Linked DNA regions of Coturnix japonica. The protein of the gene in region 1 interacts with the protein of each later gene in a pairwise test. Links are inferred from orthologs where the notes say so. Each region holds a gene or a part of one and is shown in the gene's direction. Other genes may lie near its edges.

What was found.
Region 2: the proteins of UBA3 (region 1) and IMPA2 interact in binary tests that used the Homo sapiens proteins (3 or more experiments, as listed by UniProt). The two-hybrid records come from large-scale screens. The link is inferred for Coturnix japonica from reciprocal best matches to the Homo sapiens genes UBA3 and IMPA2.

The regions. Positions count from the first base shown.
Region 1 is NC_029527.1:12,733,546-12,749,754, reverse strand, and holds the start of UBA3 (NEDD8-activating enzyme E1 catalytic subunit), read left to right. Parts: upstream 1-6,269; 5' UTR 6,270-6,333; coding exon 6,334-6,353; exon of another isoform or gene 6,354-6,366; coding exon of another isoform or gene 6,367-6,368; intron 6,369-6,490; coding exon 6,491-6,532; intron 6,533-8,984; coding exon 8,985-9,105; intron 9,106-10,070; coding exon 10,071-10,151; intron 10,152-12,678; coding exon 12,679-12,761; intron 12,762-13,255; coding exon 13,256-13,336; intron 13,337-13,966; coding exon 13,967-14,010; intron 14,011-14,304; coding exon 14,305-14,369; intron 14,370-15,155; coding exon 15,156-15,311; intron 15,312-15,441; coding exon 15,442-15,544; intron 15,545-16,031; coding exon 16,032-16,145; intron 16,146-16,209. Other genes in the region: ARL6IP5 (PRA1 family protein 3), read right to left, coding at 5,345-5,520. UniProt on the Homo sapiens protein: Catalytic subunit of the dimeric UBA3-NAE1 E1 enzyme. E1 activates NEDD8 by first adenylating its C-terminal glycine residue with ATP, thereafter linking this residue to the side chain of the catalytic cysteine, yielding a NEDD8-UBA3 thioester and free AMP.
Region 2 is NC_029517.1:87,670,435-87,686,115, reverse strand, and holds the start of IMPA2 (inositol monophosphatase 2), read left to right. Parts: upstream 1-4,016; 5' UTR 4,017-4,148; coding exon 4,149-4,253; intron 4,254-9,239; coding exon 9,240-9,373; intron 9,374-13,766; coding exon 13,767-13,871; intron 13,872-15,206; coding exon 15,207-15,252; intron 15,253-15,681. UniProt on the Homo sapiens protein: Phosphatase that can use myo-inositol monophosphates, myo-inositol 1,4-diphosphate, scyllo-inositol-1,4-diphosphate, glucose-1-phosphate, beta-glycerophosphate and 2'-AMP as substrates in vitro.

The DNA.
Region 1 (16,209 bases):
AAATAAGCTCTGTGCATCCTCTGCATTCTGATTTACTTGCTTATCTTTGCACAGCCCTAATTATACAGCAGCTGAGTGCTCTGAGCTGCTACCACTATGACAGCAGTTCTTGTAAAGCAGGAAAGATTTTCTGCCATAGACCTTGCAGTCAGACTTACTGTTCTAAAGTCATGGGCACAATGACTCACCACTCTACTCCAGTGCTGAGGAGGATGCTATGGTTTGTGGTCTGTGCTTCATATCCGGCACAAGCTGAAGAAATCTCTTTCTGGACTGGCATGTCAACACTGTACCTGCAATGCCAGAGAGCATTTCCCTAGAGAACAAAGAACCCCCAGAATGATTTCAGAGCCTGGCTCTAGACTCTGTAAGTCAGTTGCGCCAACAGGAGACAGGACAACTGGATAAAAAGAGATTAGAATCCAAACTAGCTCCCCACCTGCTTCTGCTACTCATGCTGAAGAGCCAGCATGGCTATTTGGAAATGGCGATAGGGCAGACTCGCTTGTTGCATCTGAGTCACTCCCTGCAGCCAGCCAGATTATATTTAGCTCTGAATTGTCAATCCTAAGTTTCCAGGCTGGAAAAAGTGAACAGTACTGCTCTGGAAAGAAATCAGCTTCATCTGTGTTCTATTGTAGCCAAAGGAGGGTGACTCGTGACTGCACCACGCTAGTATCCTGTTTATATACATACAACTGGACATATGAGATTCTTAAAGAAGAAATCATCTCGGCATCACTGTTAGCTTGGAGTAGAAATGGCCAGACTTACTTACAGCAATCCTTGGTTTTATTCCCAAAAAGTCACTGAAAAAATAATCCTGGAAGGAACAAAGAGCCAGGCAGAGCTCCATGCTACATTTTCCAGGTGTCAGGTAAATACTCCCAAGGCTTTATCTTCCCCATCCTCCCTCTCATTCTCATTACAGCTGCTGAAACTGCTGGTGAAAACCCTGTGCTTGTAAGGAAAAGACAGACCCTTCTGCTTTATGCTCTTTCTGTTATTATGTGGGATCTGTTTTACTGACTTGCTGTCAGGGATGTGAAGGAAAAAAAAAATACATTCAAAAGATCCCTTTTTCTTGGGGAGAGTTAATTGAATTACATGTTTTCTCAAGTGGGCTGCATTCCAATGCTTACAAGGAAACAGTGAACATAAGTATCAAATGAAGTCATTCAGAGCCACATGAAAACAGATGGGGGATAGCAGTTGCCACTAAAAACTGGTATTCAGATTATCAGCCATGTGTCCACAGGCTTCAGTATCGTTGATTACAGTACTGGATAGGGTGTCACATGCCAAGCTCCCTCCACTGTTTGAATCACCACAAGAGCAAAGTTCTCCTAGATATTTATATATAGATATCTATTCTCCAGCAATGGCATTTTTTTTTCAGCGGGTCAGCTCTCCATTATGCAGTTTCATTCAGAGCTGCTGGCACACTTCTCTCAGCAGCACGACAGCTAGAGACTAAACAGGAACTAAAAACACAGGCACAGTTTTTAGAACACATATCTGGGGGAAAATGAGAGCTGTATAGCAACACTGAAAGTCCTTTCATAGCTGAGCCATCAGCACTGATATTAGCCACATTTATAGACAGAACAGAACACAACATAAAGAATTAATGGTTGGGAAATAGGCTGGGAGTCTTTCAAAGCTGCTGAGACAAGGTAAGTGGCCAGCCATTAAGTATGTAATAAGATACTTTCTAAAAATAATTCTCTTCAGGAGGGATTTGTAAGACCTCTCAAATACTTAAAAATGTAATGCATGGAACTATTAGCATGGCAGAGTTGTGGTAACTTGATTTTGGGCTGCTCAGATATCTTAAGGGAAGAAATACTCTTTGGGTGCTGAGGAAGAGAACTGCTCTCTCTCACTACATTGAATGGAGTCAGTATGGCAGGGCTGAGCAACATTTGGTGTGCAAACAACCTCGAGCTCAGAGCCCTCTAAAGGGATGCTCTACTTTATTGCTCCCTCTGGAAGACAAGATGCAGCCCTGGTTGGATGCTGCAGCCTCCAAAGCAGCAGTGACCAACTGGCAATGAAAAATGTCACCTGGATTTAGTGCTACCGGTGTCTCAGGGCAACAGTAAGCACCTTCAGTTACTTGTCTGCTACTGTAATTACTTTTATACAGAGGAAAAAGAGGGGTAAAAATAAGAACAATTAGAAGAAACATTCTTTCTGGCTGCAGGAGGGCGCCTTGGGATACTGTATCAGTTGGAAGCTGTACCAGAAGATAGCAGAGGGGCTGGGGTTACAATGGTGTGGGAGGAGTACTGGTAACTATGTAACTCTGACAGCAAAAGCAGATATTTCTTTAGTTTCCCGCATTCAGCCTTCTAGCAGGAGAGAGAACCACAACCACCGGCCTGGAGAATTCACAGCTACAGCATAGGGAGAAAGAACTAAGCAAGACTCGTCTTTTGCTCAAGGCAGAAAACCTCCAGCAGTGTGAGCCCAGAAATCAACACACCTTGGAAGCAGTAAGCAGGCGAGAGCAGATACCTGCTGCCTTCCTCATTTGTTTTAATTGAAACAACGTGGAGACCAAGTTCGGCTTCTCCACTCCCCATACTTCTGGGTTCAGTGAGGTTATACAGCAAACCTGAAGGTAGAGTGTAAACCCATGAATGGCATGTTGTCCTCTGATTTGTCACTAACAAATCTGTGCACAGCCAGGCAACAGAGCACAGCAGCCACAGATTTAGCAAGGCTCCTTTACATACTGATTCTCACTCAGGCTGCTTTCAGAACAGGAGTTGGGAGTTCTTTCCACAGAATGGCTGTGCCTTTATGAAGGTTTTTGTATGTTTGTTTTTAAACTGAAGTTTTTATCCACTTCATGAAGTTATGTAGCATTACGTTGCAGCAGTGAGTTTTGGAGCAGTGTGTTGCATGCTTCTGAATATTTCATCAGGCATTACAGAAACTACTAATGAGTATTTTGCTGCTCTGCGATCCTTGCTCTCTCAAGGGAATTAACTACAAGCAAGTCAGCCAAGACAGTGATCTGGGGAGGAAAGGAAATAAAGAATTAAAAGAAAAACAAAAGAAAAAGACACCCATGCACTTCATTGCAGGTGCTATGCAGATGGCCAGTAGATGTTTAAATAAGCAGGGTGCAAAAGGAAAGCAACACTGAACTTCAGGCTGCAGAGAAGACACTGTGCCAAAGCATGTGCCTCCCACAGTGACAGGCCCTAGCTCAGAGTAAGAAAGGCCCTCACTCACAGTAAGGTACTCCATGCCATAAAGAGATGTGGAGATGGTGATATGTTGAAGAGGTCAACTCTGTTGTCCAGGAGGCAGTAAATTATGCCACAGCAATAAGCACCATTGCCCAGAGATTTCTTGATACTGTAAGTACAATTTCCATCTCAGCCCAGCATTACCACAGCTACCACGCTATTATAGTAGTCAAAATATCATCTCTGCATCTAATGCCTGTCTGCATAATTAAGGTGGCTTAAGAACAGGTAGAGTTGGTCATGGGCAAAGTTTAGTTTTGATCACAGAGACCACTGCATTATTGGTTTCAGTAATCCTGCCTGTAGGCCTACATGCAGTCCTGGAGTTCCTAAAAAGCCATGATTCATCACTTATCACCCAAGGATTCCTGCCCACTAGAGGGTGAAGTGCAAGATTGCATCTTAGACATCAATGTAAATTTAATTGGGACACCTTTCTTGGCTTTTCTCCCAAAGCTACAGCTCGGCCAACAGAAAAATCTTTTATTAAAAAGAAATGGATAGCTTTTCTTTATTGAAGTGCTAGCCTGTTTCCTTTAGAGTTCTTCTCCCATTCTTCTTCAGTGTTGAAGAAGCAGGTCTGCCACATACAAAAGGCTCTAAAATGTGCAATAAAACAAATTCACTCCAGGTTTTTCTTGCCTGTATATTTTCAACATAGCAGGTTACTATTTAATATAAATACATTAGAATTACAATTCTGGTATTAATCTCTGCCTTTTGTGGCTCTCCTCCCTACCACCACCTCAGCAAAACGGTGGGAAATAAATGGTAATGTATCACCACCCTTGATCTGATGTGAGATCAGAGAATAAAAGGGGGAAGGAATGTAGGAGTAAAAGCTGCTACCATTCCAATTTTCCAATTGAGGATAACTAAATTGTTCATTTTTTTTTTCCTCCCAGCTTTTTGGGGTAGATGAGTTGTTCTCCTGCCTTCAAGTGTTGCTTTAATTTACCTGCTTATTTAGAACTGGTTATGGTAATCACACTACTAAATGAAGGTAGATAGAGAAGATTAGACTCCCTCTAAAGAGAGTAAGGGTCTGGAAATCTCTTTTTACTTGTCTAATGATCTGCTGCTGGGTTGAGTAGAGGGCTCAGATCTCCACCAAAATTCAGAAGAAAATCTCCCATGCCCCTTAGCTGATATGCAGCAAAAAATAGGGAAAAAGCAGGGTTCTCAGCTTCTCCTTTCACAAAGCACGGGACAAAACTCCCTGATCCCAAAGATTCTTCACTGACTCAGACACTGGGTCAATAACGTCAGCAGCCCTAAAAAGTTACAGATTGCTTCACACACTCACACACACACATACACAAAAGGATAGGGCGAAGAACTTAAGCCTCTGCAACACATATGATAAAATATACTTCTGCCATAACCACTTTGGCCTAGTGGCCAGGCAATCCTCCGGTTTAAGCATTTGCACATTGTTTGGTGACGAGCGTAGGAAACGTATTTCATTTTCCATTTTAAAAGCTTAATCATCACAGCCTCTGCTGCAACTCCTGACAAAGAGCTTCTTGATCTTAAAGCAGCACTTACAGAAGAGTCAAACAGGCTTTAATTCTAATAATGATTAGGTTCTTTCCCAATTCTCCCTAGGGAATCTACAGCTGACATGAGACACGAAGGTCTCGGTCTCACAAAGATGGATGGGTACCGTGCTTATTTTATATTGAAGGCTTTTCAATCTGCACTAGGTCAGAAATAAGAAAGGCTTGTTCTGTCCCCTCAGCGTAGGCTTAAAGATGTAACAGAGAGCAGAATTTATCTCCTCATTTGTTGGAATTCAGAGTGAAGTTTATCTCCCCTTGACAGCCACACTGGGCAGACTAAGGCAGGAAGCAGCGATCGCCGCAGAGCAGACAGTGACATCCGGCACCCACACCCACCGCTGCTTTCTGCCAGGCACCCCGAGAAACAAAAGGCAGCTCCCAGATTTGCCACCCAGCCACAAGAGGAATTAAAAACCACGTCAAAATAACCTTCTAAATAAGCCAGCCCCCACCCAACACAAAGCAAGGGCGGCTGTACGTTTGGGAGTATCAGCCCCACCGCCCCCCCCGCACACTGACCCTACGATGGCGACGACGGCGGCGGCCACCATCAGGTAGTTGGTCTGGTAGTAGAGCAGGTTGTTGACAACCCGGTTGTTCCATTTCGAGATGTCCTTGAAATCGGGCCGGGCGAAACGATCGGAACCAGGGAAGAAATCCTCCCAGGAGCGCAGAGGAGCCACCTGCACCTCCATGGCTGCTGCCCCCGCCCCACCGCCGCGCAGGCCTCGGGCTTCGTGGTACCGCCCCGGGGCGGCTCCGGGCAGCGGGGAAATGGGAAAGGAGAGGCCGGCACGTAGATCTCCGCGTACCCGGCACTGTACGGTGCTTTCGTCACCGGCGGTTGTACGTTCTGTTCGCTCGTTCTACACAAATGTCACGCCGAATCCGGATTGCATCCCCGGCAATGAGGCTGGTGGGGCTTCTACAGCCTCGGGTCACACTGAGGTGGATGCACCCCGAATCCTCCATCCTCCAACCGCAGTGTCTGTGATGATTCTAACTTCTCACGTTAGGACATTTTCAGTGTTTTTACGCTTCATTTATCGTGGCTTGAGCACACATGCCTGATGCAGGTGTGGCTGTAACGTCTGGGGCTTGTGGCAGCTTCTCAATCTACGAAGTATTCGCGTTCCTCAGGGTGCATTCAGGAGCCTGAGGCCATGATCACGATCTCTATGAGCGCTGCACGGTCTGTTTCCCACCTCCCAGCTCCAGCAGCGCTCCTCGCTCTGCATATAGACAGACCCCTGTGTGCAGTGCAGCTCTATGCGCTCCCATGGGAAGACAACAGAAAATACTTGAGAGAGGAGCTGACACGACAGAGCTGGCTGATGGAGGCATGTCTAAAGCTATCTCTATGTTTGCCTTTACCCTATGTTGTGTATCACACACAGAAGCCCTAAGGAATCATCCCCCCCTGCCCCCATAGCACCGCCCATGATGGCGCCGCGCATGGCAGGAGCCCGGCGGCGAGCGGGGCACTGTGGGAAGCAGAGGGAAAAAATATGGCGGATGGTGAGGAACCGTAAGTGCCTTGTATGTGCGTGCTCGGCAGCCCCTTCCCCACGCTTCCCGGGGACGGGTGGGCCCTGGGGTCCCCTCTCCTTCCTCCCCGGTCTGTGTAGCGCGATACTGACCCTTCTTTTATTCTCTCTCTTTTAGGGAGAAGAAAAGAAGGAGGCTAGAGGAGCTGCTGGCGGATGGGTTAGTGCGGGGCTGCGGGCGAGTGGGCTCCCGGCCCAGGGTAGAGACAGGGACAGAGATAGAAGCAGGCAGCGCTTGTGGAAGGGCGGCTGGCAGTGAGGGGAGCCGCAGCCCCGCAGAGAGGTTGGGCTGTGCTGTGAAGGCCGCAGAGATGGGTCCTGGGAGCAGAAAGATTGAGGGGGTGAGAGAGAGCCAGGGGAAGGTGAAAGGGCGCTTGAGCAGCAAGGACTGGGGGAGAGGAATCTCCTGGGGAGAGGACCGAGGGGCTCACCCGCAGCAGGGGGTGGGTTGCGGGCTTGAAGCTTGGCATGATGAAGGCTGGTGTGCTGAGAGCTTTGTGGCAGGAGTGGGAGAGCTGCTGCTGGCCAGGACTTGGCAGAGCTGCTAGGCTAGGAGCAGGTGATTCAAAACTAGCCCAAAGTGAATATTTCAGTCTACAGAGCAGCTGCTTCTGCTTCTTAAAGCTCTAAATTCTGCTCAGCCTTAAAAACTAACATGCAGAAATCTCTGACCTCATATGCTTCCATCCCTTGACTGTTCCCCTCCATCTCCTTGTGGCCCTCTTCCCAAAGCTCCCAGAGCCGTGCTGGGGTGAGGGTCACAGAAACCCCGAGGCATGTGGGTTGTGGGGTGCATGCCACATCCTGCACAAGCATGGAGCATTTGGGTGTGCGAAGGTGGCAGGGAAAAGTGTGGGCCTAGAAGGGTTGTGGTGCTCTGATGTTTTGAACAAGATCTAAAATTCACTGAAACACATGCAAGTTTTGTTGAATTCTAATAATGTGAATGCCTGGTTGTGCTGTAACAACACAAGAATAAACGTGTCTCTAAAGCTAAACGTAACACCTCATGTTGAGTTGCTGGTGTTTTTCAGGTCTCCACAATGTCCAACTCTGTAAAAACCAAGCTAATATATTCGCAAAATTGAGACGAGGTCTTGCCATCTTACCACTAAAAAGAAAAATAAACATCTAAACAGACAACTACAGCTGCTTGGTGGCTGTTTATACTGCCTGAAAAGAAGGATTAAAGAATCCTTTGTAGTATCACCAGACTTAACTTCTGCACTTCTTTCCAGAACAAGATAAAATCCATACAAGCAATTATTGTGCTTTATAATCACCCATGTTACATTTGCAGAAGTTATTGTTTCATAAACATCCTATTTTAAAACAGCTGAGACTGTGATTCAGTGGAGGAAGAGTTTTATGTTGTCCTGCTTTCCTAAAATCTTACTTTGATGCAAAGTGGGAAACACAGGATACAGATCAAAATATCCTCTATGTACTTAAGCTCCTTATGAAGAATTTATTTAACTGCTAGGTTAACCTATGTAAAGCCAACAGTTGACCAGGATGGAGTTCAATCAGCGGTCAAAGTACAGGCAGAATCCAATATGTTTATTGTTGTTTTTCAGTTAAGTTTTTTCTCCCATTACTGAAAACCTTTTGCAAAACTATGACCTAGAAGTTAATGCCATCACAGACGCTGTTCTGTCTCCATCTGAATTCTGTGAGGATCAAGAGATTCACTGTCTAGATGTGACCCAAGGAAGTAATACATTCTAAACATTGATCAACAATTATTGATATAGACTTTCTTCATATTTCTTCATAGGAGGAACCAAATAATGCTTCTTATCGATGATGATCCAACCTTTCTAAGCTCATTTATAACCAGCTTAGTTTTGTATTAACATAGAGCAAACAGTCATTTGTATTCATGTGTGGAGCTCATACTTAAAAAGGGAGGTGTGCTGTGTTAAGGAAAGGCTTGTTCCTTGTAGGTGCTGTTACATTAGGAAATTATTTAAGTGAGCTGATTTTGAGCTTTTCTAGTAAGTCTTTTAACAGTTTAATTTTATAGTTGTGTACTACTAAAAGTGACCTGCAAAAGGTACTGGGAATACTTCGTGTAAAATTCTGTATCTGTAATTTAGAAGAAGAAAACTGCAAGTTTATTTTTCAAGTTAGATAGTAACTACTAACAGGCTCAGGAGACAGGTGGAAAATGAGAGTGTCTTAAATACATGGGACTCATGGCAGGTGAAGATTGTTCACTTTGTTGAGGGAACAGCACCCTCAAAATCTAAAGGGCAGCCTCTTTTTACATGCTCTCTTAAAATGTGAGGGAAATAAAAGGGAAAAGAGCTCACCCTTTTCGTTTCTCTTCAGATCAACTTTTACTAGTAGCAGCAAAATCAGTGGGATTTATTGAAATGCCAGTTTTTGTCTGCTGCATGTTTGTATTACTGCTTACTGGGGCCACTGATGAAGCCCACTCCTGCAGATGTGGGCTTACACGTGTTTGTGATCAACATAAACATGTGGATCCGTTTGCATGGCTGATCAGTGTTTTACTTTTAACCTATACAAGAAAAAAAAAGAGCACGTTTTAGAAGTGTGGCTATTTCTGTATGGTTTTGCAGCTGAATTTACTGTGTTCTGTGCAGAATGGCTGTTGATGGTGGGTATGGGGACTCTGGAGACTGGGAAGGTCGCTGGAACCATGTAAAGAAGTTCCTCGAGCGATCTGGACCGTTCACACATCCTGATTTCGAGCCAGGCACTCAAGTGAGAAACAATTACTTTAAATTAAGAAACAACTGTATTGTGTGTTGGAAACTAATGTCAGTGGTTTCATTAATTGACTACCAGCAGTATATGAACAGTAAACCTATGTGAAGACCATGTATTTCAATTGGTGAATGTGATTATATTAGAAGAGTGTGTCATATTCTTTTCATATACTTTTATTTCTAGATTGTAAACTGTCAACTTGCTGGCATGTGTAGAAATGTATTCTATGATACACAGTAATAATTATTCTCCATCTTTGAGTTTCACATGAAAAATAGTGTTAGTCTATTGATTTTTAAACAATTAGGCACAGTAAAGAATTCCTTGTACTTAAGAAATTAAACTTAATATGAGTACTTGGAGAATTGGGATATTCCATAGGGAAAAGCAAAATTTTGCCTCTCTGAATTTTCTTCTCCTTTCATTGCTTTGGTACCTTTTGTTTCAAAGCTTAAAGTTGAATGTGTTTAACCTTTTAAATGTACCATTCCATTATATGCTACTTTGACTATAGAGTCTAATAATGTAGTTAATAGAAAAAAAACTATGTGGCCAGCAATGTTTTCTATCTGTTTATTTTGTATTATATGTAAGCAAGCTGCTTGGGGGAAAAACACTAAACTGAAATGTGTCCTTAAACTGAGTAATAATAAAATGGAGCTTGCTTTTCTTTTTTCACAGCCAAATTAATTCAAAGAGAATACTGATAGCAAACAGACTCGCTTTCCTTTAAGTAGAGATACAGGAATTACATGAACTTAACAACTGATTAAAGTCCAAGTATAATTATTCCTGCAAGCTTAAACTATGTTATTGATCTAACTTATTTTATATGAAGCTTATTGTGCACTGAAAATTTATGATGACACAATTGTAAGGTGTATGAAACAAAGGACAAATGGTACCTTTTCCTATATGATGTATTAATTGTTTGTTTGTTTGTTTTATATTTTCCACAGGCTCTTGAATTTCTTTTAAGCACGTGTAAAGTACTAGTTATTGGAGCAGGAGGGTTAGGATGTGAACTCCTGAAGAACCTGGTAATTACTCAGTTTTCATCCTTTTCTTGTGATCTTAGTTACTCCTTGAAATGAGCTTGAAGGGTGGTAGTGTAAGGTGTACTTATTTTCTTTGAGCTCTCTCAGTGTTTCTCCTGAGGAGCAGTGTGCTGCTGTGTATGAAGTGCAGGAAAATGTTTATTTACAGCCTTAGGTAGGGCCTAATATTGGGTATTTTCCCCACAGAATCACACAGAATCACAGAATGACCCGGGTTGGAGGGGACCTCAAGGATCATGTAGTTCCAACCCCCCTGCCTGGCAGGGCCACCAAACATACACGTTTACTAGATCAGGTTGCCCAGGGCCCCGTCCAACCTGGTCTTGAACACCTCCAAGGACGGGGCATCCACAACCTCCCTGGGCAGCCTGTTCCAGGGCCTAACCACTCTCCTAGTGAAGAACTTCCCCCTAACATCCAACCTAAATCTTCCCTCTTTTAACTTAAAACCATTTCCCCTAGTCCTGCTATTATCAGCCCTTTTGAAGAGTTTACTCCCCTCCTGGGAGTAAGTTCCCTTCAGGTATTGAAAGGCTGCAATGAGGTCACCCCGCAACCTTCTCTTCTCTAGGCTGAACAAACCCAACTCCCTCAGCCTTCCCCCAATTATGAGATCCTGGGAAATGAACTATACAAAGAGTGGCTAATAGAGAGTTTATCATTAGCAGCCAAAGATTAACTTAATTTTTTATGTGTTTGGATTAATGCAAAGAGAGGCTGGAAATGCTGGACCTATGATCTTTAAAAATGAAAGTAATAGAGCCAGTCTTACTGTGCCTGTGGTGACCTCCTCCTCATTGTTGGAATCCAGAGAGTAGTGGCTCTCAGTAAACATGAGCTTCTCTCCAGAGACTCAACAAGAATCTTTAGGACTCTTTCAGGATTGCATCAGTGCTGCTGAATTCAGCCTGTGTAAAAAGCTTCTTTATTCCATCAGACCAACATGCGCTATCCTATATGGAAGTGGCTAAGGAGGAATAGGTGTGAGACCAAAGAAAATACACTGCAGAGTTACTGTACTCTTCTTGACAGCAGTGCTAGCTTGTAATGGATTCTCTACAAGCTCTGAGAAGCAGTTTTTAAGTGTTTAAAAATGCAGCCATGGGATAGTGTGCTATCTGACATTTACCCAATAAGTATGTATGAGTTTAATTTTTCTATTACTCTATTTTCTTCCTCATGGCCTTTCTTATTTGTTGTAATGTATCGCTTACCATCACTTAGTTTGGACTAAGTTTCTGTAATTCACCTGCTTCCTTCAACAGTAAAAACTTCTGTCCTTACAGTTTGTTTACATGGAAAATGTGTGGTTTGATATAGCAAATTGTTACAAAGTACAGTTTCTATATGAGCAATTATGAGTTGATTCATTTTAGTATGGTTTTTATTTACTGCTATTTCACTACACTACAGATTACCTGCAAGCTTGAGGTGCTGGATAAATCATTCACCTCATGTGAAGTCAGGCATTCCAGATAAGTTAACTTAGGGTTTTGAGTTCCAGCACTTGTGAGTAATATTATTCTGGCACCGCTTTGTTACCGTTCTACTTAAGCAGGATTTTGCTTGAAGAGACTGAAAACTACATAGCAGTTTTCTTTCTTTGAAAATGTAGTGCTGGTAAACTAAACTTCTGACTAGAGCTGCTGTATTGTAGGCTTATTGGAGAAGAACAAATTCACTCTGTTGCTAATTATGAGGAAGGACTTGTGTTAAGGGTTTTCATAAATCTGCCATGTATGCCCAGTCTCCACCTTTCCAAAAGATTTTAAGTTATTGTGATTTACTTTTATAATTTTCAGAAAGAAATGCTCATACTTAAGTCTAGATGATGTTCACGTGTACTCAGTGTCTTTGAAACACCAGTAAAAATATCTTAAGGGCTCCAGTGTGTCTGTTCCTCATGTTTTGGGCCCACTCTTCTCTTTGTTAGGCTCTTCTGATCTGCTTTGATAATACTGGGCAAAAACTGAACTGTGATTTGTGAACTAAATGAGTGTTCAGCACTAAAGATACGCAATATGACATACAGAAATTCTTACTGCTTTTCTTCCAGAGGCTACTTTCTGTTCATTTGTTTAATCAGTTTCACAGTGCAGCATTTAATGCAGTTATTACACATGGGATGTAGAAAAAGCATCAAACAAGAAGTTTGAAGTTTTTTATGTGACAAGATTGAGTCTTTATAGAAAGAAAAAAAAAAGGGGGGTGGGGGGGGAGTAGAGCATGGGACTCAATTTTTTATGTCACTTCAGAACACTGCAAAGCGTTTCCCTTCTCTAAAGCCAGTGCTTTGACAACTGAAATGTTGCTAATTCCATCTGTCCAAATACCAGCGTTAGCAACCCAGCATTTCAACAAAGAGAGCTGACATGCTGATCTGCACAGGGAACAAAGAACACCTACATTTGTTCCTCCAAAGGTTGCCTTTTTGGCATTCAGAATGAATCTTGCAGCACTGTAAGCTTTTCATTGCTTATGTAGTGAGGTTGCCTATCTCTTTTCACAGGCACTGTCTGGTTTTAGGCAGATCCATGTAATTGACATGGATACTATAGATGTGTCCAACCTTAACCGACAGTTTCTGTTTCGGTAAGTGTTATTTTCATTGTTCATTCTTTGTATCTAAACAATACGTGTGAATACAATCACTATTTTGCTGGACGAAATGTCATTGAAGGTTTCTGAACTTCCACATCACAATAGTAAAATAGTACTTACAGTTAGCTACATGTTAGGCGTGATTTTTTTTTTTTCCTGAGATCTGTGTTGTTAGTGACTGGAGAAGATAGAGACACCAAAGTATAACTCATCCAAATAGAGATAGCAGTTTTTCTGTTCCCTTTCTTTTAATCGGATCTATGTGTGTCTGTGTGTGTGGGTGTGCTGATAACAGCTGTTTCAGGGATGGACTGTGATAACTCTGGGGCTCTCACATCTAATGCTTTACAGAAATGTCTTAATATTATCCGTATCAATAAGTTGTCCCATTGTAATAATTAGTCACTTAATTCAGTATTTGTAAATAAACTCTTAAAAGACTGAATGTTACAAATTAATCCATTTATAATTCCTTTTTTTTCCAGACCGAAAGATGTTGGGCGACCGAAAGCAGAAGTTGCAGCAGAATTCCTTAACAGTCGCATCCCCGACTGTGCTGTTGTAGCGTATCCTTTTAGAGTGAAGTAGCCCCAGAGACTTCAAAAAGCCTAGAAAGCTCTGTAGGTGGTAAGAGTATCTGAAATATTTTGCTGCAGTCCTTTTTTTTCTATACAATAAAGAACAGATTCATTGAGCTGATGGTTGAGAATTCTTTCCCAGAGTGGCTTTGACATGCAGTAAATATGCATGGGGAAACAAGCCTAAGCTTTAAGAAACTGTTCTGCATGTTTCCACTTAGTCTTTTTATTCAAAGTAGATATTCTTATTTTCACTGGAATGTTAGAATTATGCGTTTATTCACCAGAGGGTTTTGAGTATACGGTGGTAAGACTTGTTCATTTACAAACATAGAGCAGCACAGCTGAGGTAGGACTTTGTAAGAGCACATGTTTTGAGCTTCCTGAGTAGTGTTCTCTTCGGAGCTTTCTCCTGTGTGTGAATGTGACATTGTGTATCTTATTTGTTTTACCACTTGCTACAGCTGTAAGAACTTAGAATATTCTGGCCACTTAGTTTTAAAAGAAAGCCTCGTATAAAATGATGGATTATATCATGCTTTGGCTTTAGATCAACAAATAGAAAACAATAAAATCAACTACATTATAAATATATTCCTTTATTGTGCTTACATTCAGATATTTTAAAAAGATTCAAGACATGGATGAAAGCTTTTATCGACGTAAGTGGCATTTGTTTGCATGCCAGACACCACTGGTGCTTCAGGGGAACACTGTGGTTGGTTTTTGCTGTTTTCATGCTAGCTAGATTGCTAATTATTTTAGACTTCTACAGTGTGCTGAGTGTGGACTGACTGTTACAGGGGTAACATAGATAAAACTTAAATGTATCTGTCTCCATAGTGACCTAGGAAAAGTGGTTAAACTACAGTCAGTTTCTCTGGAATAGAATACTTTGGTTGTCTTAAGAAGTATGCACTAGTGTGGACTTTAAATATCACTTTTTTCCCCCCTAGAGTTTCATATTATTGTTTGTGGGCTGGACTCTATAATTGCAAGAAGGTGGATAAATGGCATGCTGGTAAAGTATTATATTTTCTTAAAGCCTGGTTGTTGCTTGAGTATATGTAGCTAAAATTGATGAGCTTCACATAGAATATATCATTAAAATGAAATAAGGGCTGTTGAAACCCACAGCTGTGTGTATCCTTTTCTGCTTCACTGTTGTTGTGAAAAGGGTAAAGTCTGTGCTCTCACCTGCCTTATTCTTGAGGAGTGTTAGTCAACATTTGTGCAATGCCTTGGAGGTGTTACTTCAAAATTACAGCATTTAACTGGGATGCTGTTTAGTTGGGCTTTGAAAATCATACTATGGAAGTTCCACAGCTTCTCTGGATGCTACCATTGTGATTTTTTGTCTTTCGTTGGTTAAGTACTTGCATTTCTCCAACTTGTAAAAGTTGTCTTTTGTAGCCCCGCTGCTATAAAACACTGGGCATTAAACTAAGTATTTTCATCACTGTAAATCCATTTTAAAAGGAGTCACTATTTACCATTATTAAACCAAACAAGAATTAAAAAAAAAAAAAAAAGAGAGAAGAAAAAAGAAAACAAATCCTTCAAACTAACCAACCAATTCTTCTGGATTACCGTAGGGAAATAATAGCACTTGCTGTGTGTTTGTATGTAGAGGTGGGTTAAGATGGTAGATAAAAGTCTTGTGCCCCAACAAATAAAGTGTTCGATGGACTTAAAATAGCCCATATACTAAGTCTTATTTCATACCATTAAGAATAAAATTACCGATTTTTTCCTGCAAGTTGTAAAATCAAACAAAACCACAGCAGAGTCCACTTTTGTTCGTTAGATGTCGTTTTTACGTTATGAAGATGGTGTACTGGATCCAAGTTCCATCATACCTTTAATAGATGGAGGGACAGAAGGTTTCAAAGGAAATGCTCGCGTGATTATACCTGGTATGACAGCATGTGTTGAATGCACACTTGAACTTTATCCACCACAGGTAATTAGCGTGGATGTTTCCTTTTTGTATACGTATTCCATTTGCTGGTTTGATTCTTTCTTTTCCAAGTACTATATGTAGTAGATTAAATCCTTCTTTTCTGTTTTTCTCCCCATCCCTGACCACTCAGGTCAATTTTCCCATGTGTACTATTGCATCTATGCCCAGACTACCAGAGCACTGTATTGAGTATGTCAGGATATTGCAGTGGCCGAAGGAGCAACCTTTTGGAGGTAATTATTATGTTGCATTGACACTAAGGTAATATTTCTAATTTCTGCAGTTTTGTTTTGAGTTCAGTGTACACACCTACAGTCTGACCTTCTAACCAATGTGATGTGCTGTACTGTGGAAATTGGGCCTTCTCTGAGATGGTGATAAATCTTTCTCTTCTCAGACTCGCCCTCCAGTCCATTATTTGTTCATAGGTATTGACAGGTGTCTGTTTCTCCTGCTGTACAGTATCTTTCCTGACTCAGAACGCAGCACGTAACCACTCCACAAACCTGTGAAATTAAGACAGATTGCACATAAAATGTGTTAAGTATGGCTATAGAAATCATATTTTGATTATTTGAAGTGCCAAAGTGTCAAGCTTTGATATTTAAATGGAGTACTATTTTTTACACAAATTTAAAACAAAGGATGGATTTAGGCAAAAAATAATGCTGCATTTCTGAAGAGGTTTTATAACTGTAACTTGTCTGTGAATTGCTGCAGAAGGTGTTGCTTTGGACGGAGATGATCCTGAACATATACAGTGGATTTACCAGAAGTCTTTGGAAAGAGCATCACAATTTAATATTAAAGGTGTTACATACAGACTCACCCAAGGTAAGGATATGACACTTTGTTAATTAATGCGGGTATCCTGGATTGGCATTCTTTGCATTTATTG
Region 2 (15,681 bases), on another chromosome or scaffold:
ACTTATTGCCAAGCAGCAGGAATGTGACCCATAGCGCTTTTTTCAGCTACATGTGCACCAAAATCATTGAATTTGTCAGCAAATCTCTGATCATGAGATTACTTCATGCAACCCCATAATAACTCCAGGCACAACCTTTTTTTCCATACAGATTAAAGGGCAGTGTATGTCATTCTAACCTTCAGCAAGACCTACTATCCTCAGGAGATTTTCCAGGAATTAAATTCTCCAGTGAAAATCTTGATGCCTTTATAAGAAAAACACATTAAAAAAAAATCATCTGCTTCAAATGAATCCCTCTTTCATCTACCAGAGGTAACAAAGATGGCTCCCGAGTCCCTTTCTGTGTGGAAGAATGCACACATTCTTTCTAGACATTACATTCTTTGGCCCAACCAGCCCTGTCGATCTCACAGACAAATGCCAGCTGAAAAATCCTGGAACAATCTTGAACCAAATGGCCAATGTGGGGGTGGGGAAGGGCCTCCATCTCAGTTTCAGCTTCGATTTGAAAGCAGTAATCCAGTTTGTATTCTAGACCCTTCCCTCAAATAGGAAGCAACCTGGCTACGCTGAGCCTTAGCACACCTGTGGAAGAGAGCCAACTATGAAGTTCAGAATTCAGATCCAAAGTCAAATAATATTTCCTGTATATCAAACACAAAGACCTGATTGGTTTTGATTTGAATTGGAGCCAGTTTGAAAATTCTAGAAAACACTAGACACCATTTTACTATAAACTGTCAGATCTTAAAGCCAAAATCTTGATTTTCACGTTATCAAATTCCCCGAATGGATCTGAAGGTCAAATTCCACTTGAGACCAATTTATTTTCTTATAATTTATGGCATGAAGGAGAACATGGAGGGCACTCAGTGAGCAGTGACCTCAGGGCCTCCTGGATGCACAGGAGAAATGTGGTCAGGGTATGACTCTGAGCAACAGGAAGGAAACACAGGGAACAATTAACACACCACTGAGAGCAGCGCAGACTGGAGTCCCTAATGAGCATTACGTGAAACACTGCCAGTGTTGGAAATTTCTTTTTGTTTCTGATGGAGCAGAACAAGCACGTGCGTGGTTCTTCATGGGAATCCAGCAAGAAATGGGGACATCTTCTTACAATGTACCTTCACTTCTTGAACCCCCAAAAGACAAGAAAATAAAATGTTGGACCAAGCATCCTCTTTATCAGCAATAAAATTTACTCTGCTACATGACAAATACACTCAAACTACTGCCACATTCTGTCATCATTTTGTCATCTCTCACAGACAGACCGTCAGACTCAAACTTCATTCTTGGTGAGGTACTGAGAAAAGCTCCACAGAAAGGAGCTAGAAACAGTAAATATTCATTTTATGTGACTAATCCAATATAATCCTATGCTGTGTAAAAAGACCACCTGTACAGAATCACGCTGAAGTGCTTTAATAACAGTGCAGCAAGCTAATCGCTGTCGCCAATGAAATGCTCTTTCCCACCATCAGGCTAATAATTCCAATGGATTACTTGCTCCCCCCTCCCCTCCCCGTTTTTATTAAAGCTGTTAGTCACTTGCTCTCTCGTTTAATTTCCTATTAAGAGATCATCCATCAAACCTGCAAAGTGACAGCTATTTGTATCTGGAGACATCTGCAGCTTCCCTGGTGCTGGCTGTAAGAGGTCACTCATTCTCTTTAAGAACTACAACAAATTGTATTGCATCAGTGCAGCGTGCAATTACTGTCAACGAAGAGAATGGCAAACTGTTGGCTGAGGCGTAAGTAAACCAATTTCAGTCACAGCAGCTTCCCTTCTCACTGACCCTACTTGCAGTACTGCAGACAGAGCTGGCTACCAACAGGATCTGGGCGGCACAGACAGCAGAGAAATGCTGCACAACGGTTTAGAAAAGGAAATGAAGGAGAATACTACCTCCACTTAACTCACAGGGGTTTACAGCCTGTGAGAAAAGGAAATCAAAGACTGCACGCACTCCACGCTCTGTTTTGCAACGTATTTTCCCCTCTGCTGAGCACTTAGTCTCAGGAAAGGAAGCCCGACCTCTGCAAGACCCAGGTCAAGCTCAGAAGAACTCAGGCTAATGAAGCACCCAAGAAACACCTGTATTTCAAGTTCACCTAGGATGAGTCTACTGCAAGTCAATGGGATGAAAAGCACGGCATGTGTGTAGATTACAGAAGGCGTGTGAGAGGAACTGGCTAGCACTAAGGGTTATGAAAGATCAGAGGTTACGAAAGACCTTGGCAGCCATGAAAGGTGAGCCCAGAGCCTGAGCCAGCAGGCAAAGAACAACTGCAGCGTGCCCCAAACCACGCAACTGCGAGAGCAACTGGCAGCTCACAGCAGCAAGAAGCTCCTACTGCTTGCAGGCTTGGGCTAAAGGAAGCCTGAAAAAGCTTCAGAACGGGAGTAATAAAACAGCCATCAGCAAATAGCAGCCTTCTTTATAAAGCTTACAGGAAACTATCGTTTTTTGCAGTGTATTTTGTAAGGTTTTAAAACACTAGCTGCAGTCAGTGATTTCCTAAGTGCTCCTCTTGGCTCTTCAGTTCTGTTTTCCAGTGCTTCACCACAATTGAGATGAGTTTGCAAGTTCTGAGGGTTCATTCAGTTGCTATTTCAGCCTTCTGTGATGGCTCATACAGCAGCTTAACCACAGCAAGCCTCCAAATGCTGTAGCGGCTCTGAGACATGAGGAGAAGCTACCAAAGCTCAGGCTACTTTTATGACATCTCACTGGTCTATTCACTTACCATCCTAGCACATCTCTCCCAGCAAGGTCACTTGGCGAGTCACTTGGAAAAGCCTCACTTGGGCTGACACAAGTGGAAGATCCAAATGCTCACCTGGTACTGTAAATATGAAGGACAGGATACCCTACTGCATAAGCACACATCCATCATGGGTCATATTTCTCTATAAGGAAGATTTAGAATCACTCAAACATCTGTAAAGCCCCTGAATACCTTCAGGAACAGTGACTCCAACATCTCCTTGGGCAGCCTGTTCCAGTGCCACACGACTCTTCTGGAGTAGAATTTTTATTTCCTAATACGCACCTTGAACCTCCCTGGCACAACTTGAGGCCTTTCACAACCTCTTGTTCTCTTGCTAGTTACCTGGGAGTAGAGGCTGAACCCCACCTCACTATAGCCGCATTTCAGGTTGTTTTAGAGAGCAATAAAGCCTCCCCTGAACTTCCTTTTCTCCAGACAGAACAATCCCAGTTCCCTCAGCCGCTCCCTGTACTTGTCTGGACTCTGCTCCAGACCCCTCACAGCTTCACTGCCCTTATCTGGACACATTCCAGGGCCTCAATGTCTTTCTTGTAGTGAGGGACCCAAAACTGAGCCCAGCACTTGAGGTGCTCACTGCTGAGTACAGAGGAATGATCACTCCCTGCTCCTGCTGGCTGCGCTATTTCTGATACAAGCCAGGATGCCATTGGCACAATGCTTATGTTCAGCTAACACCCCCAGATCCTTTTCCTCAGTACAGGGTTCCATCCCTAAGCCTCTAGCAATGCACAGGGTTGCTGTGACCAAAGGGCAGGCCTGGCACTACTGGCCTCAGCCCACCACTCCAGCCTGTTCAGATGTAGCTCCTCACTAAGGATTACACACTTTCTCACACAGCAGCCAACCCATATAGGCGGGCCAGAGCAGCACAATCCCATGCAGCACACACACACTCCCTGCTTGCCTGGGGCCGCACAGCCCGGCCGATGTGCGGCTGGCAGCCCACTAGGCCCGGTTTTCACACAGCACAGCGGCCCGCTCCGAGCACTGCCAGCCCCGCAGCGGCCATGTCGGGCGGGTCGGATCAGGGCAGACCGGGCCAGCAACCTCGCCACCGCCTTTCGCCCTACTTGCCGCTCTCATCCACACCACCCCCGGCCCCTCATCCGCCCCCGGGGCTCACCTAAAATTAGCGCCAGGCCGCCGCGACCAGCCCTCCCCATCGAGCGCGGCGGCCTCCGTTCCCTCCTCCCAGTCCTCCCCGCGGGGCGGTGCCGGGGCTCCGAGTGACAGCGGCAGCCTCGGCCCGGCCTCCCTCCCGCCCTCCTCCTCCGCGCCGTTCCTCGGCGGGCAGCCGGCCTCCGACCCCGGCCCTACCCGGGCAGCGGAGCCACCGCCACCGCGATGAAACCCCGCGGGGAGGAGGAAGAAGAGGGGGCGGCGGGTGGCGGAGACCCCTGGAAGGAGTGCGCGGAGGTGGCGGTGCAGCTGGCGCTCCGTGCCGGGCAGGTGAGGGCCGCCCCCCGCCGCCCCCCGCGGTGTGGGGAGCGCTACACACCCGCGGGGCTTCGTCGCTGTGGGACGGGGCCGAAAAGGGCCGGGAAGGGGCGGTGGGGTGGGCCAGGGCTGCTCCGCTGCCGTAGCATCCTTCCCGGGCGGCTGCGGAGGTGCGCTTTGGGGTTAGGCGTTAAAAAAGGCAGAGCCGGAGGTTGCGGGCTGAGGGAGGGCTGTGTGGGCGCTCGGCGGGCGCTATCTGAGCTCTCTCAGCCCCGGGGCGGTGTGGGGGGAACCCGGGGGCCGTGCGCGGTCACCTCGGGCTGAGAACAGCCGGGGCGGCCCTGTGTGGCTCCCCGCACTTGTACGTATTTAAAAAATAATAATAATTAAAACAAATCTTGCCGCTTTAGTAACTTTTCCAGTCGAACGCCAAGCACTTATTCTTGCGGCTGTGGCGTTTCGGAGCGTGGTGTGATGCTAAGGCTGAATGCTGAGTGTATGTTCAGCTGAGGCTGTGTGCCGTGGTGTGCTTATGCTGACTGCCGTGCATTACTCTACCACCATTTGGGTTTGAGCAGTTTGCATGCAGAAGAAAATAGCTATGCCAGAGAGGTTGCATCTAACTGTTGTACCGGTGCCCTCAGAGGGACTGAAACTCACTGACCAGGGCAGCCCAGCAGAGGCTTTGCTGTGTTTCATTACAGCAGGCAGTCACTCACCTCAGGAGAGGCCCTGTGTTCCACTCTTCCCTGGCTCTAACAGAGCTGTGTGCTGCAGCAGAATTTCCCCAGCTCTAACAGAGCCCAGAAGTGGGGTCAGCGAGCTGCTCAGAGGAAAAACTGGGTAGAACATGAAGCTCAGCAGCGTGCGTTTCTCTTCTGCTTCCATTCTGCTGTGTTTTGTACCTACGCGCTGTTATTTAAGGAGCTCCATTTTCATCTTGAGGCCAGGACCTGTAATGCTTCCTTAGCATGTGTCATTAAACACGTTTTCCCGCTCACAGAACACACATGCGCGCACACTGGGATGAACAGAACGCCAGGAGAGAGGAGACTTGTTTTAGTAACACAAGGAGTAAATGGATGATCCAAATCGGGATGACAGGCTGTGCTCTCACAGGATCTGAGGGGAGTTCCCCAGCATGCTGGTTCTGCCAGCCATTTCACAAGAGAGCTCCTCATGGCTTGCTCGAGCCTCTGCACCTTATTTATCAAAATACCAAATGCTGGGAATAGCCAGGACTGCTTTGCTGACCTGGAAAATCACAGTGGTTGATGTTTGCATCATTTTCATTTGCGCTTTGATACTGCTACCTTGCAATTGGCAGCACAGTATATTATTAAAGTGTCATTCCAGTTCCTGCTACTCCCAAAAGAAATTAGAGATAAGGATAGAAAGTGGGGTGTAACTTAGATTTTATGGGGTTAGATTTACTATCTTTTTCTTTTGTTTCTCTTCCTGTCCCTCACACCTCTGCCTTCACTAGAGATCCATTTGCACTGTTTCCCCAGAGCTCAGTGCTGTCTCCATCCATCTCTGCATGCAATTTTCCCATTTCAGCCTTTCTTTTGAGACCCTCATTTTCTGGAATCCAATGCAAGTTAGGAAGGTTTCTAGTTAGCCCCGTCCCTGGAGGTGTTCAAGACCAGGTTGGACGGGGCCCTGGGCAACCTGATCTAGTAAATGTGTATGTTTGGTGGCCCTGCCAGGCAGGGGGGTTGGAACTACGTGATCCTTGAAGTCCCTTCCAACCCAGGTCATTCTGTGATTCTGTGATAGTTAGAAAGTGTCTTTGAGAGTCTTGATGTAGAGGCCAACTCAAAGAAAAGCATGCAAGTCAGAAATTGGGGTTTAGAGAAAAAGTCAACCAGCAAGATGGTTTCCTGCTCTCTTCTTTTTTGCTTATGTGACTGTTGGGTTTGTATTGTTCAGGAGTGGAAGTAAAATGTATCTTCCTTCAAGGCTCTGGAAAACTTCTTTCTAAGCTGTATAGGCCAATAAATAGGTGATTGCCTGAATGTGCTTCAGAAGTGATGTTGTTGGAGTAACTTCCATTCCCAGGCTGAGGTTATTGTTTCTTTTTCCCATCCTGTTACTAAGTTCCATTATTCTTATGAAATGTACCAGGCATTCCTTTAATATAAATGGCTATTTCACAAAGACAGTAGCCAAGGTTTTGTAATGTCTGTAATTGGCCTGTGTTAAAATTATGTCTAATCCACTCTTATGCCACACAGAACTGGATTTTTTTCATCCTCCTCCTGCTTTTTTGTGTGAGTAAACTCTTGTGAGAAGTACGCCTGTCTGCTTACCATGACTTGCTGCTAAAGAGAAGCAAATACCAGTTTCTGAACCCCAGATGCTATTCTAAGCACTGGGTAATATTTGCACAGTTCTCTGCAATTACGACTGGAGAAATTTCACCAAAGTCAGTACATCCCCAGGGAGGTGGTTGAATCGCCATCCCTGGTTGTGTTTAAGAGCCGTTTGGATGTGGTGCTCAGGGATATGATTTAGTGTAGGGTTGTTAGAGTTAGGGTTCTGGTTAGGCTGCGGTTGGACTTGATGATCTTCAAGGTCTTTTCCAGCCTGGGTAATTCTATGATTCTATGATCTGCAGAAAGGTGTAAAGAAGGGGGAGAAAATGAAATGAGAAGCTGATGTGTTAAAGCCCACCGGTATTCTGGGGAAGTTGTTTTCTTACTTAGAAAATAATTCTATGAGAGACCCGGAAGAATCTCACTTTAATAAAAAAAAAGAGGAGGGAGGGGGTGCAAAATTTCCAAACATTCTTCCCTATTTTTGCTTTTAGGCTATTTTCTAAGGAGCATTGATTTTTTTTTCTAGCCAAACAGGTGGTTATTTCATAAATTATATGCAGGTAGTTATACTTTCTATCTAGACATTTGGTTTTACCTGTGAGCAAATATTTCAGGACATTATTGCAAGCAAGTAATTCTGTCTTGGAGCTCCCAGAAGAGTGTGCTGAGTATAAGTAGAACAGTGGGATGAGATCTGTAATGTGAGCACCCTGTGTAGGTGGTTGTCCTGGCAGGTGTGCTTGAAAAGGCATTTGGGCCTTCTGTCCTTTCCATTCTCTGTTGCATGATTTAATCATAGAATCATTAAGATTGGAAAAGACCTCTAAAATGACTTAGTCCAACCATCAGCCCGTCACACCGTGGCCACTAACCACGTCTCTCAGTGCCACATCCACGCTGTTCTTGAACGCATCCAGAGACAGTGCCTCCCCCACCCACTTCCCTGGGCAGCCTGTGCCACTGCCTCACCACTTCTTTCAGGTCACAGAGTAATAAGGTATCCCCTGAACCTCCTTTTCTCCAGGCTGAACGATCCCTGTTCTCTCAGCTGCCCCCCTCCCCCATAAGGCTTGTGCTCCAAAGCCTTAATATTTCAAAGGTGCTAGGAAAGGCAGAGTCCAGCAACACATTTACTCACAGGCAATATAAAAGAGGAGGGATGAAAATGAAAAGCGTGAGCATAGCAGGTTTCTTAGGGAGGTTACACAACACAGCTGAGACAGTTGCAGCACTTTGGATTTTGCTTTGGACTGAAGAGCAGCCTGAGGGCTTTCTTAAAGTGGTGCTTCTGCAGTGATGTGGTTAAAGCACCGAGAAAAACATGCGCGGCATTGAGAGAATTAAAATAAATAAAATATTTTGGTGTACAATAATGAACGTCAGCAAGAGTTTGAAGCAAAATGTTCACATCTATCTTCATCGGTTTGGATAAATAGTTAGAATTAAGGCTTTACAGCTCATGAAGCAGAAACAGTCCGTTTGCCAAGTCCATGCTAAAGCAGCAGTCAGTAAAGTCAGTTACATGTCAGAACCATCTGAAGCTCCTTCATATGTGGTATTTTAGACTACAAAACCCAAGAGCTGAGAGTGAGATTAGGGAGTTCCTGGTTTCCTTTCCTGTATGTAATACAAGCAAAACTGTTTTGGTCCTAAAACACGTCTTTTTAGGTAGCTTTAAAATACGTTGATCCGTGGAAATGTAACTAAAGAAATCAGTGTTGTAGAAGGGATGTGGGATATTGGTTTTCTTGTTGCTGTTTTTCATTTAATGTAACTGTGTAGAAATAAACAGTGCTTAATCTTTGCTTTGCTTTGGCTTTCCTAATTTCAAAGAGTTTATAGTTGTCACCGGTTAAAAAACAAGGCAGCTCCTTTTGCTAGTTGAGCATTATCGCCCCTCCTCCCTTCCTTCTCTCTCTGTTTGTTTATTAAATAAAGAGGTTAAGGGAAGAAAAAAGAGAGAAAGAAAATGGGAAAACTGAGGAAACATTTTTATTTACTGTGTTCCCATACGTGCATTTGCTACTGATGTGATTTAATTCTGAGCTTATAGCAGTAAAACCCTTTAAAAGGAGATTAAGATTTTTCCAGAGTTAGATCATTGGTGCCATATCTGAGGAGAAGCCTAAATCTTTGTTTTTGTTATGTACACAGCAATTCTTTGGGACTAATGGGTGCTCAGCACTTGGACATTCAAACAGTCTTACACACGAGAAAAATTAAATATTATGTCTTTGTTGGCAAAAAGAAAACGGTGGAGTTTGATTTACTGTATAGTTTTTAAGGTAAGAGAGCAGTGAGTTATTGGCCTTGTAAATCTATATATGTATATTTAGGGAAAAAAAATGTCTTTCTGTGAAAATTTATGGGCCTCAAGATTCTTTCTAATCTTAGATGTGTTTTCTGTAATTTCCTACATCACAGCGACTGCCATCATCCTTTTACGAATCCTTAATCCCTTTCTGAACTGTCAAGAGAGGCTCCTGCAAATGCCGTGTTCCAAAAGGCTGCTCATTATCTCCAAAGGATTTTTACTCAGAAGAGCTAGAATAGGTTCTGGTATAATTAGACCCGTGATTGTTTTTCAGGATTAGCTATAATTGCGTTAGTAATTATATCACATTAGTGTCCACAGGATAAATGGCAATGAAGACTGATCTATGAACTTCTCTTTCAGATTATTAGGAAAGCTCTAACAGAAGAAAAACAAGTGTCCACGAAGACATCTGCAGCAGATCTTGTCACCGAGACTGATCATTTTGTGGAAAATTTGATTATTTCTGTTCTGAAAGAGAAATTTCCCTCCCACAGGTAAGTATCTGTAGAAGAAAACAATGAATGACCATTTTTCCTATAAAAGCTGTATATCAGACAAGCATTTAAGGGGAATTTTAAGATTCTGTCCTTGAAGGTCAGATTGTGATTTGATTGTGATTGACCTCATTGCAGCCTTTCAATACCTGAAGGGAAACTCCCAGGAGGGGAGTGAACTCTTCGAAAGGGCTGACAATAGCAGGACACGGGGAAATGGTTTTAAGTTGAAAGAGGGAAGATTTAGGTTGGATGTTAGGGGGAAGTTCTTCACTAGGAGAGTGGTTAGGCCCTGGAACAGGCTGCCCAGGGAGGTTGTGGATGCCCCGTCCTTGGAGGTGTTCAAGACCAGGTTGGACGGGGCCCTGGGCAACCTGATCTAGTAAAGGTGTATGTTTGGTGGCCCTGCCAGGCAGGGGGGTTGGAACTACATGATCCTTGAGGTCCCTTCCAACCCGGGTCATTCTGTGATTCTGTGATTGCTAAACTGTTTTTAAAAAGTCAGTTTGAAATTACCTCTTCATAGCACATGCACAGATGAGAAAGCAGTTTTGTATTACTTGGTCAGGTTTGGCTCGATGCAGACGCTGCCATTGATTTTCATAATTGACTTTGGTACACAGGCCTAAAATCCATCTGCCTGCAGAGCCTATGTATCACTTGATTGCTACATGACTTCCTTCTAACTGTGTACATCTCTAATGGAGAAGAGCCTTGCGCTCTAGTACTGTGCAGAAATCAACAAAGATGAGAATCTAGAGGGTTCAGCTACTAATCTGCTTGTTGGCTCTGCTGTTGTAAGAAAATAACAAGAAGTAAAAAGGAAAGAATGAATAGAAAGAACATTATATACTAAATATGGCTTTCTGAATTCATGGTGTATGTGATCACATATCGAAACAGTACTGTACAGCACAATGTGTGGTTCTTGGCTGCGATTCTCTGGAGAGTGCCAGGCTTTACAAGCCTATTATTTCTGTAATATTCCATCTACTGTTGCTGGCAGTGCTCTTCTTTCTTCTGCACGGTTTGTTGTTTCTTCTTTCCTTGAACTGCCTGGCAGAGAACATAAAACATACACATTTTGCATGAAACTGGAATCAACAGTAGCGCTCAAGTTACTCAAAATGGAAACAAAAGTTATAAGGTCAAAGCAGACCAAGAAACAGAAAATAATCTAACTTTTACTAACTCTGTGCAACATTGTTCTGACTCCAGAAGCAAATAAAGGGCTTGCTATGGGCAAATAAAGGAATTGCTGTTTCTTCAAGGCAGTTCATTTTTGCTGATAGTGGTGGTTGTTTTTGTTTGGAGTTTGTTCAGACAGCGAATGCATTTAGATTAAACAGTAGATTAGAACTAGATTTAGAAGACTAAATTTAGATACTTGCAACGAGGAATCCACAGAAGGAATCAAGGTTTAAATTGAAGTACAGTGAAAACATCAAGAGATCACTTAAACTATTCAGTCTTTCCCTAATCCAGCTGTTGAAAGCACCAATGAAAGTTTCTGTTGATTCTCCTTATAGAGTCATCCTTCCCTTAAGTTATCTTGATTCTTATGTTCTCTGACTCGAGAAATATATCCTGGGAGTTAAAAAACCTGGAAGAGATCCTGTTGAAATTTATACCATTTTTGCTATGGCAGTGATACATCCCAGTATGTTGGAAATGTACTCAGGAGTAGAGAAGTGTTAAGAAAACCTGTTAAAAATGTGATTCTATCCTATATTTCTTTGTTTTGTCTCCGCTTCGCCAAGGGACATGTATCATTCTCATTTATGCTTCAACCAAGTTTTCTTCTTTGCTCTCATTCTCTTTGGCGCTCTGAAATGCTCCAAGGAAATATTCCCAAATGTTTATTTTTTTTTCTGGTAGATCTTCATAGGACAGATAGGCAGAGCTAGAATATCATGGACTGCTGGCTGAAAAATGTTATTGTGTCATTTGCCCGTGTTATTGTTACACAAGCTGTCATCTTTGGTGTCAATTGTGGCCTTAATCCTGGAGCTGTTCCAGTCAGAACTTGGACATCCAACCCTGTCTACCAGCATTTTGCCCTCAGACCCTATTCCCATAGGGGCAGCTCCAGTTTGAGCCTTCAATGTTCCAATGGATATTGCCCCTTTTGTACTGTGCTACAGCTTCCCTGCTGTTCCAGCACTGAATTTCACAGTGGCTTTGAGGCGCAAACAGATGTCCACTAAGGCTAGGATAAAATTACCAGACTCATTTTCCGTGGGAGAAAACTTTAATCCAGATTTGAACAGAGGTCAAAAGAGCTGAAAGGCTGGCAAGTTAAATTAACTACTGTAATAACATTGCTACCCCTCCCACTTCTTAAACTATGCCTAACATTTGGAATTTAGGACTTCAGCCTGAATGTTTTACTCTGTTTGTGTGTTCTTACAGGACACAGATCTATAGAGCAATACATCTGATGTTAGCCTTTAGGAACAATCACAGTACCCAGTATTGCGTAGCAGCAACTGGTTTATTTTACCTGCTAGCAAAAATTTCATAAAGTTCGACACGAATGTGCAGAAGAACTTCTTTACTGTGAGGGTGACGGAGCACTGGAACAGGCTGCCCAGGGAGGTGGTGGAATCTCCTTCTCTGGAGATATTCAAGACCCACCTGGACGCCTACCTGTGTGACGTGGTGTAGGGAGCCTGCTTTGGCACGGGGGTTGGACTCGATGATCTCTGGAGGTCCCTTCCAACCCCTACAATTCTGTGATTCTGTGTGCACCTAATTTGTCCAGCAGCCATAATGGAAAATTGACCTTGTACACGAGTACTTAGAAGTGGTACTGCTGTACCCTAGCTTCATGTTAGGGCTTTGTACTTGAGGACTGCAACATCATAGTCCACTGTAGGGGAAAGGGAAGGGACAGACTTGTCACCCAGATACATAAGGATAAAGCACCTTATAGAAATACACTTGTTTTTCAAGAGTATCCCATTTCACCTTCCTTTTGACTGGCAAGACAGTGATTACAATGAAGGATCTGTCCGAGGTAGAAACAGAGGCATGATTTGTGCGTGATAGAGGACCAGCTTCCACATCGTCCATTTGCAGGAAGATGGGTTTTATCTGCAGCCAGGAGTGCTGCCTGAGCTTACGGTGGGGGTTAAAAATGGTTGTATGTTAAAAAATATCAATGAGACAAAACAATGGAATACAGAGAGCAAGGAATCTGTAACGTGCTGTGTTTGACTGAGAACACTTGTTTAAGTTTTTTCTGGCTTTCTAGTTGCACACTAACAATTAAAGTGTCCCTCAGCTGTTCTCTTTAATGGAGATTGAAATAGCAACAAACACTTGCTGCTTCCCTTCTTATATCAGATGGGGGTCCATAATGCCATCAAAATAGTCCCTTTCTTCTGAGGAAAAGGCAAAATAGCACATGGAAATTTCAAGAACTCTCCATATGTGCCATTTACAGGATGTTTGAAGCTCATTCTTGCAACTTTATGTAGCAAGTGTGAAACCAAAAGCGAGATTCAGTGTTAGCAGTCTAATTCTACACATTCTGTATATATAGAACTATATTCAAATCTGTGAGAGTAGCAACCTGCACAGCTCTTACAAAAACAGGCACTGAGTTTGTGGGAGAGCAAGGATACTTAAGGTCAGCAGGAAATACTCCAGAACTGGATGTTCATTTCCCAGGGAAGAAAGATTTAAAAAAAAAAAGCATTGATATGAAAGAAATGGGGAAAGAAGATGAGCTCAAATTTCAGTGTGTGACTTGTGCATACAAAAAAAAATAATAATAAATAAAATGTTTTAAAAAATGTATTTTCTCTGGGTCATGGGAAGAAGAAAGTTCAACTGTGCAAACTTTTTAATTTCCTGGTTCTGACTACTTTAAAAAGAGTCTAATAGGAGTCAGGTTGTGGATTCTTGGGAGTTCATTACTTCCTGCTGACTGAATTTAACTGCAGTGAGAAGCAGCTACGTTTTGAAGTTTATATTACTTATTGCAAGAGACAGACCTCAACCATAAATTTACGTTCTACAGAGAAACCTCCTTTAGAGTTCCAGGAGTGCCAATTTAGATCAATTTCTGCATTAATTTTCATTACTTTTTTAATAGCGTATTAAGAAAAATGTGAATGGAGTTCTTTTTTACCACATGAAATAGTATGCTAAGAAGTCAAGAACTTTCATTTAAAGTTTATCTGAAAGCTTCCCATTCTCAATTAAAAAACGAAACATGTCTGTATTATGTATATATTAATTTTATATATATATGAGCATGTGTATATAACATTCGTATGTATTTATAAACTAAATACTTCTTCAAAAGACAGCAAGATGGAGTTAAACTTACTGAGTCGCATGTTTGAGCAAGTTTTCTGAGACTTTTATTCCCCATTCAATGCAGGTTTATTGCAGAAGAATCCACTGCTGCTGGTTCCAAATGTGTCCTCACTGACAGTCCTACCTGGATTATTGACCCTGTTGATGGAACCTGCAATTTCGTACACAGGTAAGTTGGCAGGGGAGTGAGAAACACATAAAATGACAAAATTCAGCTTCTCACAAATCCTCCCTTCTTTTTGAAGGCATTTTACTGTGGTAAATTTGTTCCTCTGACACGTAAGTAGGAGTCATCCCTCTGTTGTTTTATGCTTTATCTATGGGAGTGTGTGTTTGTGCTGGAGAGAGCACTGTACTGTTTTCTAAAGGCAAGATAATATGTCTTCTGATTGCTTAATGACCTAGAAGCTCTTGACTCACAGCTCCTTTATATATAATACACATTAACATGTAGAGACTTGAGCTGAACCAAAGAAACAAGGCTGTACTATGATGACATTTGGCCTTACTCTGTATGTGGTTGTTATGCATTCCTTTTTGTAGTGGTGTGTTCTCCCTTTCAAATACAAGTGCTTCATTTTTCCTGGGAAGTACAGTCATGGCATATGAAAACTAGGCTGTATTTAGTTGAAAACTAGGCTAAAGGTAGATGGTGGTTTAAGTCTCCTGTAATACTGCCCTGTAAAAATAAGAAACCTAGGGATCATTTATGCAAAAATAAGAAAGTTTTTCTTCCTCGTTTGAGTGGTAGGAGTTGTAAACCTATGATTGTTTGTAATACTTCTACTTAAAAAACTGAATTATATTCTGCTTTAAAGTTAGTAGTTTAATGTAACTGTGGTTATAATTTGAGGGGGGAAAGAAAAAGCATTTATCTTCTGGTGTCATTGTATAGAATTCAAGTGGGGAAGGAAGGGGAGGTTATATGCTGCTGTTTGATGCAAGTTTTTTCTTTCTAGCAATATTTTCTGGATCTTCATAACCCTTTCTGAAATATGTTTGAATAAATAAATTTATTTCATTATTTAAAGAACAATAACACATGTTTAAAAGGAGTAAATTAAATACATGACCATCACTTTGGCAAAAGAGAGGGAAGGGGAACAGGTTTCTTCTTATGCTGATGTCAGCAGAAGGTATCTTTTTGCAACTTAATCCTACCTCACCTTCTCAGTTCACTGGAACAAAATGTGTTCTTAAAAACCAATGACTTGCTATAGAAGCACTGGACAATTCAATTAAACTGAAGCAAAAATATTATTAAAATATACAACACATTTAGTATAAAGATCCTAATGTCTTTAAGTATTTACTTCTTGCATTTTCAAACATTAGATCAGTTTTTAAACTGACCTGTCTCTTGGACTGACGAAGGAGAAATAGCATAATATCAGAGCTTTTTTGGTACTGAGCTCCAGGTGGGGTTTTGTTGCTCAAGTGAGCTACATAATTATGAAGCTGAGAGAACTTTCATCAGTAATACTTCATTTCTTGTTTTTCACAGATTTCCAACAGTGGCAGTGAGCATTGGATTTGCTGTTAACAAAGAGGTATGAAGTTTGTTATTTAGGATGGATACCTGAGATTTGGTTAAAAGCCTCAAAACCAAGTGGGAAATTAAAAAATAAATCCAACATTGCTCAAGCTTTCCCATGCTTTTAAAATACATTTGGTCATACTCTGCTAGCTTAAAATCCCAGTCTTGCGAAACTTCACTTATGCAAACTGGCATTTACAGGAAAATTCTTATAAATCATTATAAATGTTACAGGATTTATGTGACTAAAAAGGAAGTGCTGGTGTAAGGAAGGTTCCATAAGACAAAAGCCTGATAAGTTATATATATTCATAATTTAACCCTATCTTCCAGTGTTCTTCTGTTGATTATGATTGCTTCTTTCCTGCTAGCAGTATCTGTGAACACTAACTGCTACTATAAGGCAATTTGGAACTGCTTTCTATGAAGAGAGCAAAATTAT